Macaca fascicularis: one gene and its partner. The protein of the gene in region 1 purifies or fractionates together with the protein of each later gene. This does not show direct contact. Links are inferred from orthologs where the notes say so. Each region holds a gene or a part of one and is shown on either strand. Other genes may lie near its edges.

What was found.
Region 2: the proteins of FAM117B (region 1) and DCAF7 purify together in Homo sapiens (affinity purification with mass spectrometry; 3 studies listed by BioGRID and IntAct, with this or other methods). This does not show direct contact. The link is inferred for Macaca fascicularis from reciprocal best matches to the Homo sapiens genes FAM117B and DCAF7.

What each region holds. Positions count from the first base shown.
Region 1 is NC_088386.1:98,502,428-98,506,702, forward strand, and holds the start of FAM117B (protein FAM117B), read left to right. Parts: upstream 1-1,170; 5' UTR 1,171-1,357; coding exon 1,358-1,952; intron 1,953-4,275.
Region 2 is NC_088390.1:70,058,825-70,063,082, forward strand, and holds the start of DCAF7 (DDB1- and CUL4-associated factor 7), read left to right. Parts: upstream 1-1,373; 5' UTR 1,374-1,606; coding exon 1,607-1,744; exon of another isoform or gene 1,745-1,869; coding exon of another isoform or gene 1,870-1,890; intron 1,891-4,258. UniProt on the Homo sapiens protein: Involved in craniofacial development. Acts upstream of the EDN1 pathway and is required for formation of the upper jaw equivalent, the palatoquadrate. The activity required for EDN1 pathway function differs between the first and second arches.

The DNA of each region.
Region 1 (4,275 bases):
AAGTCTTCCACCACCGCGCACAGGGATCCAGTAGGATTTCAGGTCCAGAGTGAATCATACTATGGTCTCCACTCCCACATTTTTACACGACGAAATCTGTCTAGCATGTACAACTAATAAAAATAGTACAGGGAAAAGAGGTAATGGATAGGCAATTTATAGCCAGAGAGGTGGGAGTGTAGGTTTTGGGTCCACCATTTTTTATTTTCTTGATAAGGAGCCCTTTAGGCCATTTTAGAACTAGTGTCACTGCCTGCCTTCCTGGGTCTTTGCCACACCAAAGACTTGTTTCCTCCACTAGACAAAAACATGGATGGCTGGCCCAGTTCTGTCTCAAACAATGATCGTGTAGAATCAAATAAGGCCCTCTGTAAACTATAGCATTTTACAGACTGGTAAGGTAGCAGCCATCTTTCCAAGGTATCAGGGAACAGCGAAGCAGCTGATTAAAATAGTCTTGATTACTTGAGATACAGGAGGGTAGGAATAACATGTGGTAACTGAACTCCATAGATACTATCTAAAACCGCATTCTAACAGGCAAATTTAATCTTTCTGAGATTTGCCTCTTTGTAGAGCTCTAAAAAATAAGAAAAGGAGAGGGGTGTAAAATGCCACTTAAGATTTGTTAAATTTCTTCTCCTTTTGAGCCCTGTCCATAGGTAGATGGAATTAGGGCAGAACAAAAACATTAAGAATAAAAGCCCGAAGGAGAGGCGCGTACATGTGAATACAAGTGAATACTGGGGTAAGGAAATGAGTTATGCGGAAAAGGCTTCAGACCATCCCTGGGAACTGTTCCGGGTCCGGACATTTCCTTTGGCAACCTTCCAGAGTCTGAGTCCCCAGGGCTCCCCACTGCGGGAAGGGAAAGGCGCGCGTGGCTAGGCGCGCGCGTACACGGGCACTCACGTGTACACACACACGCGCGCACACTACACATACACACACTGCCCATTTCCTCCGCTCCCTCCCCGCGGGGGGCGGGTCTCTTTCTCTTTAAAGAGCAGACGGTCTCCGCGCACACCCAGGCTCTCAAGGCCTCGGGGGCCCGGGACCCGAGCTGCTCGTAGCCAATGGGAGCGGTAGAGCGGCTCGAGCGCGGCTGACGCTGCACCAATGGGCGATCGTGGGGGGCGGGGGCAGCGGAGGAGACACTATTGTTGATGAGGAGCGGCGGCGGCGGCGGCGGCTGCACCACCTCGTTGCTGCCGGTCCCGGCCCGGTCGCCCCCTGCACCCCGGAGTCCAGCTTCGTCACCCCGCGCGGGGGCCTGCCCTCCGGCCTCGAGAATCCTCCCCCTGCAGCCCAACAACAAAACCCCCCGTCTCGCCCAGTCACCGGGGAGGGGGGGACCATGTCCCAGCGGGTGAGGCGCAATGGGTCCCCCACGCCGGCCGGCTCCCTTGGGGGTGGTGCGGTCGCCACGGCCGGGGGACCCGGGAGCCGCTTGCAGCCCATGAGGGCGACGGTTCCGTTCCAGCTGAAGCAGCAGCAGCAACATGGCAGCCCCACGCGGAGCGGCGGCGGCGGCGGCGGCGGCGGCAACAACAACGGTGGCTGCTGTGGTGGCGCCTCAGGCCCCGCAGGCGGCGGCGGCGGCCCGCGCACCGCCTTGCGCAGCACCAGCCCCACGCGCGGCGGCGGGAACGCGGCCGCGCGCACCAGCCCCACGGTGGCCACGCAGACGGGCGCGTCCGCGACGTCCACGCGAGGCACCAGCCCCACGCGCGGCGCCGCGCCTGGAGCTCGCGGGAGCCCCCCACGGCCGCCGCCACCGCCGCCGTTGCTGGGCACCGTGTCGTCGCCCAGCTCGTCGCCCACCCACCTGTGGACCGGCGAGGTGAGCGCGGCCCCACCCCCAGCCCGCGTCCGGCATCGGAGGAGGTCTCCGGAGCAGAGCCGAAGCTCGCCGGAGAAGAGGAGCCCTAGCGCCCCGGTTTGCAAAGCAGGTAAGTGCTGGGGGTCGCGCAGCGAGGGGGAGGCGGCGGCGGGAAGGAGTCCCGGGCGCGCGCTGCAATCGCGCGGGGAATGCAGCGCTGCCGCGGAGCCCGGGTGGCTGGGGGCGGGGCTGGGGGCGGTGTCGGGCGGTGGGGACCGGGCAGTGCGGCCCCGCCTTTCCCGGGCCTACCCTGCGCCCCGCCCGCCCGTCTCATTCATTCCTCTGCCCGCCCCGCGCGGCTCCCTGGCGGTGGAGGTGCAGTGGCTAAACCTTGGGCTTGAGCTGATGAGTGTTAATGATAACCCTGGCGTCCTGGCCGTATTCCTGGAGGAGTCGTTACTGCTTACCCTCCTTTGAGGGTGAGGCTAGGAGTGGTTTATCACTTTGTTTTAGGCACAAGGTTAATGTTGGCATAGCCCGTATCTGCTGCTGCTAAGTATTTCTGTTCACAAAACAGTTTCAAATCTGGGGTACTGAATGCATTAGCAGTGGCAGATTTGGATCACTGAACAGACGAGGCTGAGACCCGTGTTTTAGCATTTTCCAAGACTTTGATAAATGGGTAGCAAGAAGTGAGAATTAAGCAAGATTCCTTAGGAAGGTTTATGGGTTTTGTCTGAGGTTCTGGGTGTATTTCTGATTTTGTGTACTGATTCTGTTGTTTGAATGTAGAAAAACAGAATCCAGTGTTTGTCTCCATCTTGTTATTGTTTTAGGGAGCTAACATTCGTTGTTTTTCTGTTTACCTGGAAGCTTTCTTGGGGAAAGTCGTGAATGGAGCTGTGGGTGCCATTGGAGTCATTCATAAAGAGTAACTCAAAAGAAAAATTCAAATTGTGGGAAGTGGAAAGGAATAAAATTTATCATCTTGTTGCCTTGAGAAAATAAATATGTGGTTTTTAATTATGTATTCATTTTTGTCAACATATATCTTTGTCTTTCCCTTACTGGGATAGTTCTGTTAGAATCTTCCAGGCAGAATGGTTGGGAATTTCAGGAAACAAATTCAGATGAAATAGTTTCCGAAATGGAAGGAATAGGATGACTCTTTCTTACTGTTTATGAAAAGTTTTAGATAATACTTTTTTTAGAGATAATTGCCCTGGAAAATGATTAATAGTGTTTTCTTTTTTTGAGGTAGAATCTCTGTCACCCAGGCTGGAGTACAGTTACGCGATCTTGGCTTACTGCAACCTCTAACTCCCGGGTTCAAACGATTCTGCCTCAGCCTCCTAAGTAGCTGGGGTTACAGGCGACCGCCACCATAACCGGCTAATTTTTAGTAGAGACAGTGTTTCACCATGTTGGCCAGGCTGGTCTCGAACTCCTGACTTCAGGTGATCCGCCCGCCTCGGCTTCTCAAAATGCTGGGATTACAGGCGTGCGCCTCCGCGCGCTGCCCGAATAGTGCTTTCTAATTAGAACTAGAGCACTGTTTTATTTATTTGTATTTATATTTTTATTTATTTCTTGAGAGGGAGTCTTGCTCAGCCGCCCAAACTGGAGTGCAGTTATGTGATCTCGGCTCACTGCAACCACTGTCACCCGGGTTCAAGCAATTCTTCTGTCTCAGCCTCCCGAGTACCTGGGATTACAGGCACCCGCCATCATGCCCGGCTAATTTTTGTATTTTAGTAGAGACAGGGTTTCACCATGTTGGCCAGGCTGATTTGGAACTCTTGACCTCAGGTGATCTGCCTGCCTCGGCCTCCCGAAGTGCTAGGATTGCCCGGTCCAGAGCACTATTTTAAATCTTTTGAGAATGCAGAATGCTTTTCTAAAACTGTGATAAAAGTATTAGACTTCACCTCCCCGCTTCATAACCTCTGTCACCTGATGAACTCTTACTATGTGTCAGGTAGTTTTTATGCAAAATCTCATTTAACCTTCACTATGGCTTTTAGAGAGGTTAAGTAACAAGTTGCAGAGCTGGTATTTATTTGAACTTTGGTCAGTTGTACTCCAAAGACCATGTCTTTATATTATATCAAGGAAGTGACATCATGATGTGTAAGATAGAATGTGGGAAATATATAGCAGGCCAAAATTACATGTACTTAGTTAAGTAAATTTTTTTTTTTTTTTTTGAGACGACGTCTCACTCTGTCATCCAGGCTGGAGTGCAGTGACGTGATCTTGGCTCACCGCAACGCCTACCTCCCGGGTTCAAGCAATGCTCCTGCCTCAGCCTCCCGAGTAGCAGGGATTACAGGCATGTGCTACCATGACCGGCTAATTTTGTATTTTTAGTAGAGACGGGGTTTTTCCATGTTGTTCAGCCTGGTCTTGAACTCCCAACCTCAAGTGATCTGCCGACCTTGGCTTCCCCAAAG
Region 2 (4,258 bases), on another chromosome or scaffold:
AGCATGGTCAACATGGTGAAACCCTGTCTCTACTAAAAATACAAAAATTAGCTGGCCGTGGTGGTACACCCCTGTAATCCCAGCTACTCGGGAGGCTGAGGCAAGAGAATCACTTAAACCTGGGAGATGGAAAAATCATTTTCACTAAAAATTATATTTAGCGCCCAGAATGGTGGCTCAAGCCTGTAATCCCGGAACTTCTGGATGCTGATGTGGGAGGGTCGCTTGAGCCTAAGTTCGAGATCAGCCTGGGCAACATGGAGAGATCTCATCTCTACAAATAATTTAAAAATAGCTAGGTGTGGTGGCAAACGTCTGTTGTTCCAGCTGCTCTGGAGGCTAAAGTGGAATCGTTTGAGCCTAGGCAGTCGAGGCTACAGTGAGCCCTTATCACACCAGTGCACTCCAGCCTGGGTGACAGGGCAAGACCCTGTCTTTAAAAAAAAAAAAAAAAAAAAAAAAAACTTTAATGTTATAATCCAACAATTCAATACAAACCTCCTTCAATTTTGATGAAAGCTAAGAATTGGAAACCATTTATATAAAGGTGTCACTTGGTCTCTGGCCCTTCTCCCTTTCAAACTCACAGGCACAGATACTTTTGGGGCTGGATTAGCATTTGCGTTGGGATGCACGGCGGGGAAGGTACAGGATGGGAACCGACAAAAACAGAGCCAAGCTGGTCAGGTCGGTGTCTACCCCAGAATTCGGGGACATTTCTAGATCCTGCAGGAAAGCGCGGGAGGACCTGACTCAAGCTGGCCTGGCCCTGAGCGCAGCTGCGCCCCTGAAGCCTGGCCCTGAGGCCCGAAGACAGCAGCTTTCGGGTTAAAGGGGCCTTGGGAAGAGAAGGGGCAGGAAGGTGGTACCCGTTGCGCATAGGCCAGGCTGCCAGGCCGCGGGGCTCGGTCCCGCGAAAGTAGTAGGTCTTCCGCTAAAGCAGAATTGTACTTTTACTCGACAGCATGGAAAGGCCGCTCAGAACAGCAGCAGCAGAGGAGAAGTCAGCGCAGGTCACAGACAGTTTCACGCTCAGAGACTTGGCCTAGAACTTGGAGGCCCGCTACTCCAGCACGCTCGCCTCCCGGCCACCCACGCCCCCACCACCCGCACTGCGCCGTTATCTGCCTGACTGACATCTTGGTCAGCCAATGATCTTTGGGGCTGCCAAAGCGCCTGCCTCCGAGAGTTGGGCGGGGCGAGTAGTTGCAATGACAAACATTTAACCCAATAACGAGGAGATTTCACACGCTACGGCCGCAATAACCAATGAGAAGAAAGAATCCTTTCGAAAGGACGTGTCAGGCAACCAACGGCCGGTGGCGCTGCAGGGGTCCCGTGGCTTCCGTTCCGAGAGGGCGGGGCGGCGTCCCGAAACGGAAGGTGGTTGTCGTCGGTGCCCAAGCTGGTTTGAAACTAGGGGTCGGGTTCGGTCGTTGTCGTTGTTTGTCGCCGCATCCCCGCTTCCGGGGTAGGCCGTTCCTGCCCGCCCCCGCCCCTCCTCCCTTCGGACCCATAGATCTCAGGCCCGGCTCCCCGCCCGACTCGCACCCCGCCCGCCGCAGCCCACTGTTGACCCGGCCCGTACTGCGGCCCCGCCGCCACCATGTCCCTGCACGGCAAACGGAAGGAGATCTACAAGTATGAAGCGCCCTGGACGGTCTACGCGATGAACTGGAGTGTGCGGCCCGATAAGCGCTTTCGCTTGGCGCTGGGCAGCTTCGTGGAGGAGTACAACAACAAGGTGGGCCGGGCAGGGCCTCGGAACCCAGCTGGCGGGGAGCGGGCCCCGGGAGCGCCCTTTCCGGGCCGGAGCCCAGGCCCCAGAACCCTCCTGCGGACTCGCCTTAGGGCCATGGAGCGGTTCCAATGTCTGGCCCTGTGCTGAAGGTTTCGTACTCGTTGTCTGTCTCATTTAATCCCGGCAGCATTCTTGTGTAGTCGGCAGTGTAGTGGGGAAACTGAGTCACGGTTTTGTGACTTGCCTGTGTCAGGCAGCTATTTCGTGGTGGAAACAGGTCTTAAAACCGGGTTTACGCCCCAAAGATACTCCATTTATTCCTCCCGTGCTCTCCACTCCTGCCGCATTTTTTTCGTTGGTGGGCGGGGAAGGGAAGAGGGAGTGGTAGTTGTGAAGGAAAATGCAGACGCTTCTATTCGCGGTCGTGCACTCTTGGCCACACTAGATTTCTATTAAGACGATCTGTTGTACAAGCTTCCCCGCCCCCTACTCCCACACCCCGGGTGTGGATCCTAGCCCTTCTGCCAGAATTACTGTTGCTCTTGCTTCCTGATAACCATTCTCTCTAAAGCAATCTCTTTGGAAATCTTGGCCTGTGGCATGATCCCGCGGTTGTTTCCTGAACACAGGATGACAGGGCCTTATCTTTTGGCTTGTTTCATGCTAGTACAGTTGTGTGACCTTTAGTAATAGATCTTGCTGGACATTCATCAATTTGAGAATCCTTTATAGAAGCACGGTGTCGTAGGGGAGCTTTTAAACTGGCATTGCAACATAAACTCATCTTTGAAAGCTGAATAAGTCAGTTGGAAGCATTTTCTTTGCTTTCTTCCTTTTACTCAATTAAAGTTGAATGATAGCGATCAGAGCAACTGAAAGCTGTGGCTAGTGATATTTAAAGCCACTACTGCCTTATGCCATGAGCATCAGATTTAAGAAGAGTAAAACTGGCTGGGCGCGGTGATTCACGCCTGTAATCCCAGCACTTTGGGAGGCCGAGGCAGGCAGATTACCTGAGCTCAGGAGTTTGCGACCAGGCTGGGTAACAAGGTGAAACGCTGTCTACTAAAATACAAAAAAAAAAAAAAAAAAAGAAGAAGAAGAAAACTGTTCAGTGACAAGGCTCATGCAGGGGGGAAAAAGCCAGGTGGTCTAGGAGTGGGTCCTGTCTGATTATTGACTAGCTGTGAGGTGTTGCACAGGCCTGTTTTATTATCTGTGACCCACAGTTTGCTGTAGGGAAGGGGTTCTGGTTTACATGTGAGGGTCTTGTAAAAAAGAAATTTGAATATTTTACAGTTTGTTTACAGTTTTTCAGGAGCACGTTTCTCTAGAGTAGGTCTTCTTTGGAGTCCTCTTTGAGAAGCTGATGAAAGCGATGAATTTTCATTGTCCAGACATTACACATACGTGAACATATTTACAAACAAATCCAAGCAATATGCACTGATCTTTAAGTTCACCCATTTCCCGGGCGAAATAGAGCTGTATTTCCTTTCCTCTGATGCTTCTTTCTTCCTTGTGGCCCATTGTGGACAGCTGAACTGGGAATGGGATTCAAGATTCTGATGTGGACACCGTGTTAGTAAAATTAAGACCACTAGAACTATTGTTTAAGGATACACGTGGAAAATAAAAAAGTATGTCTTTCAAAGAGCTTAAGCTTAATTTTTCACACAAATTAATGTTTTTTTCCTGTGTGTTTTTCCAGTGTCACGGGGTAAACAATAGTTACTCCTATTCTCCAGAGAGGAGAAACTGAGCCACAGTTAGGCTGCTGGTAGAATCAATGGAGTAGTCAAACTGCTGTTGCAGGAACTCTACCCCAGTTTGTCCTTTCTTTTAGCAACTCTCTGGAGCTTCCTCTTTGTTCCAGGCACACAGGTAGCATGGCTTAGCAGTGAAATGCAAACTAATAACCCCACTATCAACAGCGTAAGCAGTTAGCTATATCTTAACTCACATGATGTAGGCAATGTGCTGTCTTAAAATCATTTTTGTGCCTCCACCTGTCAGTAGGTCAGGGTTCTTAAATTCTGTGTGCTATGATCATCTGATACCAATAGACCCCTTCTCATAGTTATGTTTTCAAATGCATAGAACACGTAGAATTACAAAAGAAACCACTTACGTTGCACTACAGATATAAACATGTTTTTAGAAGTGGTGATGTAGTCATATGTACTTTTAATAAATATATTGATTTACACCATCCAGTGTAATTATTAATGTAATTTTGAAGTGGTGACAAGGGTAAACAGCATTTCAAGATGCTTAACTGCACCGTGGTGGGAAAAAATATTTCTCTTGCTGGTGAAGTCACAGATACTTATGCCACTGTGAGCACCTAACCCATTTGTAATTGAAGGAAATAAAACATATTTAGCTAGAGGTGAATGGAAATATGGGCATGATTTTCCAATTCAAGTTCACAGACCCCAAGTTAAGAAACCCTGCGAGACAGGATTATGTCTAGTGGTTGGTGAGCAGCAAATCCTGCCTTAAAGCAATGATTCT